Bombyx mori: one gene and its partner. The protein of the gene in region 2 interacts with the protein of the main gene of each other region in a pairwise test. Links are inferred from orthologs where the notes say so. Each region holds a gene or a part of one and is shown on either strand. Other genes may lie near its edges. The genes, in order: WW domain-containing adapter protein with coiled-coil homolog and TRAF3-interacting protein 1.

The links.
Region 1: the proteins of TRAF3-interacting protein 1 (region 2) and WW domain-containing adapter protein with coiled-coil homolog interact in a two-hybrid assay, tested with the Homo sapiens proteins (2 studies listed by BioGRID and IntAct). The link is inferred for Bombyx mori from reciprocal best matches to the Homo sapiens genes TRAF3IP1 and WAC.

Annotation. Positions count from the first base shown.
Region 1 is NC_085107.1:9,926,310-9,930,143, reverse strand, and holds part of WW domain-containing adapter protein with coiled-coil homolog, read left to right. Parts: intron 1-799; coding exon 800-945; intron 946-3,834.
Region 2 is NC_085131.1:5,592,438-5,596,698, forward strand, and holds the start of TRAF3-interacting protein 1, read right to left. Parts: upstream 3,075-4,261; 5' UTR 2,892-3,074; coding exon 2,757-2,891; intron 1,160-2,756; coding exon 1,042-1,159; intron 468-1,041; coding exon 1-467.

The DNA of each region.
Region 1 (3,834 bases), on a different chromosome or scaffold from region 2:
CCCGCCTGCGGGTACCAATTTTTCTAATGTAATACGTACTTAACAAATGTTCACACGATTGACTTCCATGGTGAAGGAATAACATCGTGTAATAAAAATAAAAAATAAACCCGCAAAATTATAATTTGCGTAATTACTGGTGGTAGGACCTCTTGTGAGTCCGCACGGGTAGGTACCACCACCCTGCCTATTTCTGCCGTAATGCGTTTCTGTTTTGAAGGGTGGGGCAGCCGTTGTAACTATACTGAGACCTTAGAACCTTTATCTCAAGGTGGGTGGTGGCATTTACGTTGTAGGTGTCTATAGGTTTCAGTAACCACTTAACACCAGGTGGGCTGTGAGCCCGTTCACCCATCTAAGCAATAAAAAATAAATAAATAAAAGGTTACTCAATCAAACCAAACACTGTTTATGTTCTAGTAACTTATTGCTCAATTTATCACGAATATAATAAATGACAGAATGCTAATTTACGACGTAACTGCCGAACCTAATTCACGCAAAATGAATTTAAAATGAGTACTAAAACTAAAATAAAAATACTAGTTTTGGTTTTGCAAACAACTAACTAAACTTTGTATGAATCTGTGCATTGATTTCAGATTCATCAGATTGATTTCAACTGTACGTTTCGATGAAATCCACCTTTACGTCTGTTGCCTACAAAAAAACATTAGATTTTGTGATATTGGAAACGATCTGCCAAAAATCCTAGTCTTCGATACAATTTCGAAATTAGAACAAATCTTGTCTGCACCTCTACGGTAACATGATGACGTGATGACTTTCTGTGTTTCAGTGGAATGTCTGGGAAGCTATTCATCAGTTGTCGGCGGCACGCTACAGCACGCACCGCCTATGTTGACGCCTTCACTTGTGAATTACGTCCGGTCTGATTTAACATCGCATGTTACCGGTTGGCCAGCCGATATACTCGAAAAACAGGTTTGTCATCTTTCTTGTGCTACTTGTTTAAGAGTTTAAAGCTTTTATTTATTTTCTAGTTCCCATCCTATGAGCAACATGCCGCCATTTAGCGAATTAATTTAATTGCTAAAATCTATTGTTTTGCTTAACGAATGTTGATATATATGTATATATATATAAATCTACAGTGGTTTTTACGGATGTTCCGTTATAACTACTGAACCATGCTTCCGATTGACTTGAAACTTGGTATCCATGTAGAAAATACATGTACTTACCATTAAGTATCCATATAGGCTAATATTTATATGAGTGTTGGACTCCCTAATAATAATGACAATAAATAATAATGTTAATTTTAAATGCCCAGCGAAGCGGGCGAGTACGGCTAGAATACTTATAAACTTAAAATATATATCCTAGTTTCAAAATGTGCTTATATTGAAAGTTTATACTAAATTAAATCAATGAATTGTTTGCCAGACACTCAACTTACTCTAAAACATAATTTGATATTAATTGAAGACATAATGGAATCTTACCAAAGAAAAGGTTTTTTTTTGTGTATGCCTTAATTTTACTATCATTACGTGTTAAAATGATTCGTATTGGTTCGGTATAATACTTTAACGTATATACCATCAAAATATAGCGGCATTAAAAAAAGAGTAGTTGTTAATTGTTCTATTAATTTTATTATGACTTTAACAATTTTTATTTGTTGATACTAAGACAATACATATGACACTGATAATTTACTACGGAGTAAACTAACCTATAGTCACAGCCCACTAAGTTTCTCGGCGGATCTTCTCAAGGGGTCGCGATTCCGATCCGGTAGTAGATGCATTCGCGAAGCGTCGAACCCGTCGCTTGCGACGAAGGGCCCGACGAGAAAATTAACCCTTAGACACAGCCCACTGAGTTTATCGCCGGATCTTCTTAGTGGGTCGCGTATCCGATAAGGTGATAGATTCTGCGAAATGCTGCTTTTGCTAGGGCAGATATTTTTTGTTTATTTTTTATTATTTTTTATTGCTTGGATGGGTGGACGAGCTCACAGCCCACCTGGTATTAAGTGGTTACTCGAGCCCATAGACATGTTAGAAAATTCTCTCAGGTCGAGCCTGTGAGCTCACATATCCGCCCAGGCGTAGCTAGAATAGCCCCTTTGGCTATCAGCGAATAGGTTGGAAAAAAAATCGACATTTCCGTGTGTCACAGGATTATTTGACAAATAATCTGAGTAAGTCGGTTAAGGCGGATCAGTTTCTTGCTTTGCCATAAAATAAAAATCTATTAAATATCATAGTATAAGTAGGCCAAATGATAAAGAAGTAATGAGGAAAAGTAAAGATCTTATTTATCACAAATTACAAATCACTGTTAGTATGTAGTGTTTTATTGTTTTGTTAACGTGCTTGTGTGTCCTACTTTTGCTGTGCTTATTATATTATTATTTGTAAAATCTGTACTATGAATAAATAGGGTAAACAGTAAACAAGGTTATCCAAATGAAAAATAGAAGTTGTTATTGTTATTGCTTTACATTTTGTTCTGGTGATGATTTATAATCAGGATACTAAATTCCCTTGACCTTTATATTACATACACATATTAAACATTATTACATTTCTAGATTATACAATAAAATAGGGTAGGTACTTACATTTTAGCTTGATTATATTAGACTCGTACTTTTCTTTTGTGTTTTTCAGGAAACTATATTTTCAGACCGGTGTAGTGTAATCTAAACTATATCATCTTCGGATCTGCTTCAATACTTTGGTTGAAATTTAATACAGTTCTTTTTCGTGTATGCTCAAAAGTTAATATGTTTTGTAGACTTGAATGATTTTTAATTTCACACGTGTCAATAGGACAAGAAATACGTTTCGAACGCTCCATTTAATATATCACTATCATCTCGACCTTTTTATATTTTTGCTATTTAGTATAAAAAAAATACTCTTCACATCTTGTTGGTTTGCAAGAATACCGCCAATATAGGTCAGAACTATTTGATATTGAATCAGATACAGAACATGATAAGATAATTTTTAACATGAATAGTGAATGTTCGAAACCAATCCGTTAGTTTTTGAATTCTTACCACGGCAACACGGGTCGCGATTTGACGGTGCCGTCGCGATTTGACATCTGTCACTTTGTCTTGCTTCTCGAACGGGACGGTACCTGTATATTGACGGTCTACGCTAAAGTTGTGTATCATCGCTAATCCTTATCCATTCCTGCCCCATACCCTTCTCCCTAAGTGATACGGCGTGAGAAGACGAAGGCATCGGTTCCGGTGAGTGATTGCATGATATTTTGTTAAAATAGTACACACGGCGCCGCGAATCGCGGCACATGTTCGACGCGCACCTCGTGCTGGTTTCCGTAGCCCTAGGCTGCCACGAGGTCGCTGGGTTCGAATCGAACAATTTCTGGTAGCAGAGCGTGGTTAGATTTGTAAAATCTACGGTAATTACCACGAATTGTAATTTTTTTTATGTCTAACCTCACTTAATTTTGTTACTAGTCAGCAGAAGTAGTGTAGGCATAGGGCTCGGTTCTGTTTAAACTATCATTCTGCTGACCTAGGTCAGGTCGTTTAGTGTGTTTCTATCCACCTGGTTAAGAAAATTAGTGAATAGAAATAGTTAGTAATATTAAGACTGATTTATTAGCTTCCACTGCGCATAGCTGACTAATTGTACGTGAGTTGGACAGCTGTGCTGGCTGAGTTTATGACCTAGCACACAGCTGCTACAGTGGTCAGCTATTTTCATACTATTACTACAGATTTATGTTAATTCTGCTCATCATAGCAGTAGATTACCACATCTATTTAAGCATAGTTGTGTGTAACAATCTGAATGTTATTACAGTTTGGGTTTATAATTT
Region 2 (4,261 bases):
TAAAGCTCTTTGTGTCTTAACTTTTTCCGTTATTTGTACATGTGATTCCGTAGATTTTTTTTTACCTTGCGGTACAATTTTTTTTGGATTCCCTTTTGCTTGTTTCGTTTTGTTTTGCGGCTCATTCTTAGCAATATTTTCATGCTTGGGTTGGTTCTCAACTTTTTCTTTTTTAGATGAAGATTTTTCTTTTGCTTCGTTTTTTAGGTTCGATAAATTATCGCTGCTCTTAGAAATTAAGTTTTTTGTACTGTTTTTCTTAGGAATCGATTCTTTAGATCTCGTTTCTTTTATAAGCACAGTATTTTGTGATGCATTTTCTTTATATTTTTTCACTGCTTCTACTGACGATAAATTGTTGTCTAGAGCTTGTGCCAAACATTGTAAGAGTTCATTCGTTTTCTCTGCCTCTTGACCTGCTACTATCTTTGAAGGCTTAATATTGATAGGTTTTCCTGTTGTATAATCTGTATATAAATTTACTAAATTAAGAATACTTGTAAGTTTTTTTAAATACATACTTAATTGTGTTAATATGTGAGTGAGTTCGGGAACACAACGTATTAATCTAATATATATTATATTATAGTAGCTGCGAAAGTTTCGAAAAGAATATGGGCAAGACAGCGGTAGTTATTACATTAATAGATAGAAAAAAAACGGTATCTGATACGGTTATTTGAACCTTACAATATTCTCATAACTTAATATTGCCTGTCTAATACATTAAGACAGAGTAGAGTAGCCATCGTGCTATGGAACTTATAGAACTAAGATTTATAACTCATGTCTCAAGGTGGGTGCTGCCATTTCCGTTGTTGATGTGTATGAACTCCGATAACCACGGGTATGCAGTGAGCTCGGTCACCTATTTTAGCTTTAAAATTTTACATAAAACTAATTTGCAGAACTACTATCCAATTGAAATAGAGACCCTAGTAAAGGTAGGTATTCACTTTTTGAAGTCTATGGACTCCGATATTAGAACCCCAGGCGAGCTGTGAGCACGTTCATCCATCTATACATCTAAAATCAACTTACGTATAACTGAAATGACTTTATTTAAAAACTGTATTTTACTCTCTCTATCTTTAACATTCTCAGAAGTTAACTCGTCCTTTTCAAATAAACCTTCGAAAAATCCAGTTGTTTTTAAAACCTAGAATTAATAATAAAAAGCATTAGAGAAAATAATGATTAGTAAAAACTTAGACTTACATAGGTCTCGATGTCTATGGACTTTGGTAACAGATTAACATCAGCTCAGATCAGGCAGTGAATACAATGGTAATAAAAAATTTGTTACCAGGACATGTTAGCTACTTAAGCCATTTTGTAAGTAATATCAGACTATTTTACTTAGACTTTAATTAACTTTGGGATAACGCTAAATTTTACCCGGGACTTCATAGAAGGTGTAAATATTATTTAATAAAGAATGTTAAGGAGCTATTTAAGGGACCAAAGTCACGCTTTTTAACCGACTTCAAAAGAGGAGGTTATCAATTCGACCACCATATTTTTATCTATGTTGTTCACCGATATCTCGAGAATGCTTGAACTGATTCTGATAATTCTTTTTTTTTGTTCGAAACGCTAGACTTCCCGAATGGTCCTGTAAGTAATCATCAGGATCAGGATCTGATGATGGGATCCTGGAGAAATCGAAAAAATCTACAATTTTCAGCCTATCTTGAAATGATTTGGGTACTTCTTTTTTGTTCTTATTTTATGTCGCCGCGCACCGGCGCGGCGGCGGCGCCTTCTACCTACACCATTATTACGTGCTTGATCATTATTTTTCTTATGCATTTTGCTAATGTTATTTTAAAACTGCGATATCTTCTAGGATACTCATTGAAATCAAATTATGTAAAGGGCCAATTTCTTTTAAATTAAATGCTTGTAATGAATAACGTATTTCTTTGGATAAGTATTAAGTAATATCATCTTTATAAAAACACCGTCACAAATAATGCTTTATTTTAGAACAAATTTGGTTAGTTTAAAAAAGGTTTTAGTGAGCCAATATATGCCGTCGCGGAGTTTTTTTTAAAACTTTTAAAGGGGATTTTTTTGTCATATTTTATTTTAGCGACACTTAAACCGTTTCCGCAGCGCACGCAGCGGAGGCTCCCAAAAGGAAATAAACCCGATTTTGAAACATTATTTATTAGTGCTCCGCTCGTATTGGTCTTAGTGTGATGTTAAATAGCCTATATACACTGAAAGAAATTTTCAAATCGGACCAGTCGTTCCTGAGATTAGCGAGTTCAACCAAACAAACAAACTCTTCAGCTTTTTAATATAAAAAAATAAAGTATAGATAGATATGGTGTTGCTTTATTTAATTTCTGTTCAGATTGGTCATTTTTCTGTAACAGGTCTCGTCAGTGGAATTACACAGCGTAAATACGCCTCTAGGGTTCTAGGGTAGATACCCTAAAACTAAAAAGGCTCCTGTTAGGATAGACGCAAACCGCATCATTACGCGCTCAGTTTTGCTTTTTCTTTACTTGGCCATTTTCATATTTTCATTCTTTATGATTATTCTTTACACACAAACAATAAAGCACGATTTAATTTCGTATTAAAAAAAATATTTTTTTCGTTTATTTTATTAAGGCGTTAAACCTTATCGGCTCAGGGCGCTGAATCTTATCATACGTCACTGGAAAAGTGCATTTTTGAAGTCATTGCTATTTTGAATTTTCTAAGTGTGTTTTTAAAGTGCTTTGAAAAATATATGCACTCACGCTAGTAATAATATCATGTAGAAATCTAAAGGGAGGCTTCTTCAGTAATTTTTCACTTAAAGGCGGCCTCTTCACATATTTTCCGAGAGATGTTTGAGTTTCTTTTATGATCTGTGGATCTATTTCTTTTTCCATTGCACATATTACAAAGTAAACATGAAGCAATAAATATCAAATAACCATATACCTATTCTTAACGACACAAAAAATTGTTGATTACAATAATTTAACAAGAAACATAGGTTTCATAAAGGTTGTCAGGAGTCGTGGTATTTTTAATTTTGTGTACACTGTACGTTCCCATGGAAACGGCTTAGAACCCAAAAATGTTTTGTTGGTCAAAGAACGGGATATATGCCCATACAGCCGGTATCCATTTTCAAGATAGCTTTAATGACAATTGTAAAAAATTCCAGGCAAAACCCATATCGTTTGAATGAAAAGTGAAAAAGAATAAAACATATTTAAAACCAATGAGATGGGATGGAATGGCATTAAATGAACACTCAGTAAAATACAAGGATTTACGGAGCTTTCAAATTGGCAATCTAAAGTAATTTGCGCAACAGCGATCTTGTTTTTATTACGTACTTTCAAAAAGAAGGATTGATTTTTGCTGCTATGAAAATCCACGGTGCCCGCCACGGTGATCTAAAGCAGTGCTTTCCAAACATTTTTCATTCCCATACCCCTTAAACTTTTTTTGAGTTCTCCAACCTTGATAACTCCATACCTAATGTGTCTCATTTCTCTTCGATTAAATCCTGATAACTCCATACTTAAAAAATGTCTCATTTCTGGTTTATCGGTCGTTTTTATTAAATAGTTATTAGAATAAAGTTCATTTAAAACTATATGTTGTAGACAAAACAACATTATCATCATATTTTTAATTTTTTTAAGTTAACTACTTAAACTTCTCAGTATTTACGGCCATTACCAATATAATTTTCACGTACCCCCAATGGGATTCGGAACACCCCAGAGGTACGCATATCCCAAGTTGGTAATTTACAATACACCTTTCCCACTTTCGAAAAAAAATCCACATAATTTTAATTTGAACTCAACATACGCCATATCATGTCAAGAAGCTCATTTAATTTTCATATTGAAAAAAAAAAGCAGACTTACCGTATCATAGATTATCCTACGTAAGCACAAATCAGCACAATTACTAATGTTTATTTATTGTCTGTGTACAATTTGTAGGTCTATAATTTTATCAATAATTCTTTTAAATTGCATCAAAATAATCAATTTATTACAAAATAAATATTTTAACAAGACTTATTTATGTCTTAATTAATCGTTTAAAATTGTGGCTCGATATGCTTTTCCTTAGATCTACACTACATTGGCAAGACTGAATGTAAATTTAATATGCAGACGTGGCGCCTGATGCTCTGTTCTGTCTAAAGTTTACTTGAAGACCAAATTGTGTGAAGCTATACAATTTTCTCAAAGCGCCTGAGTGAAAGTAATATCAAAGTGTATACCCACTA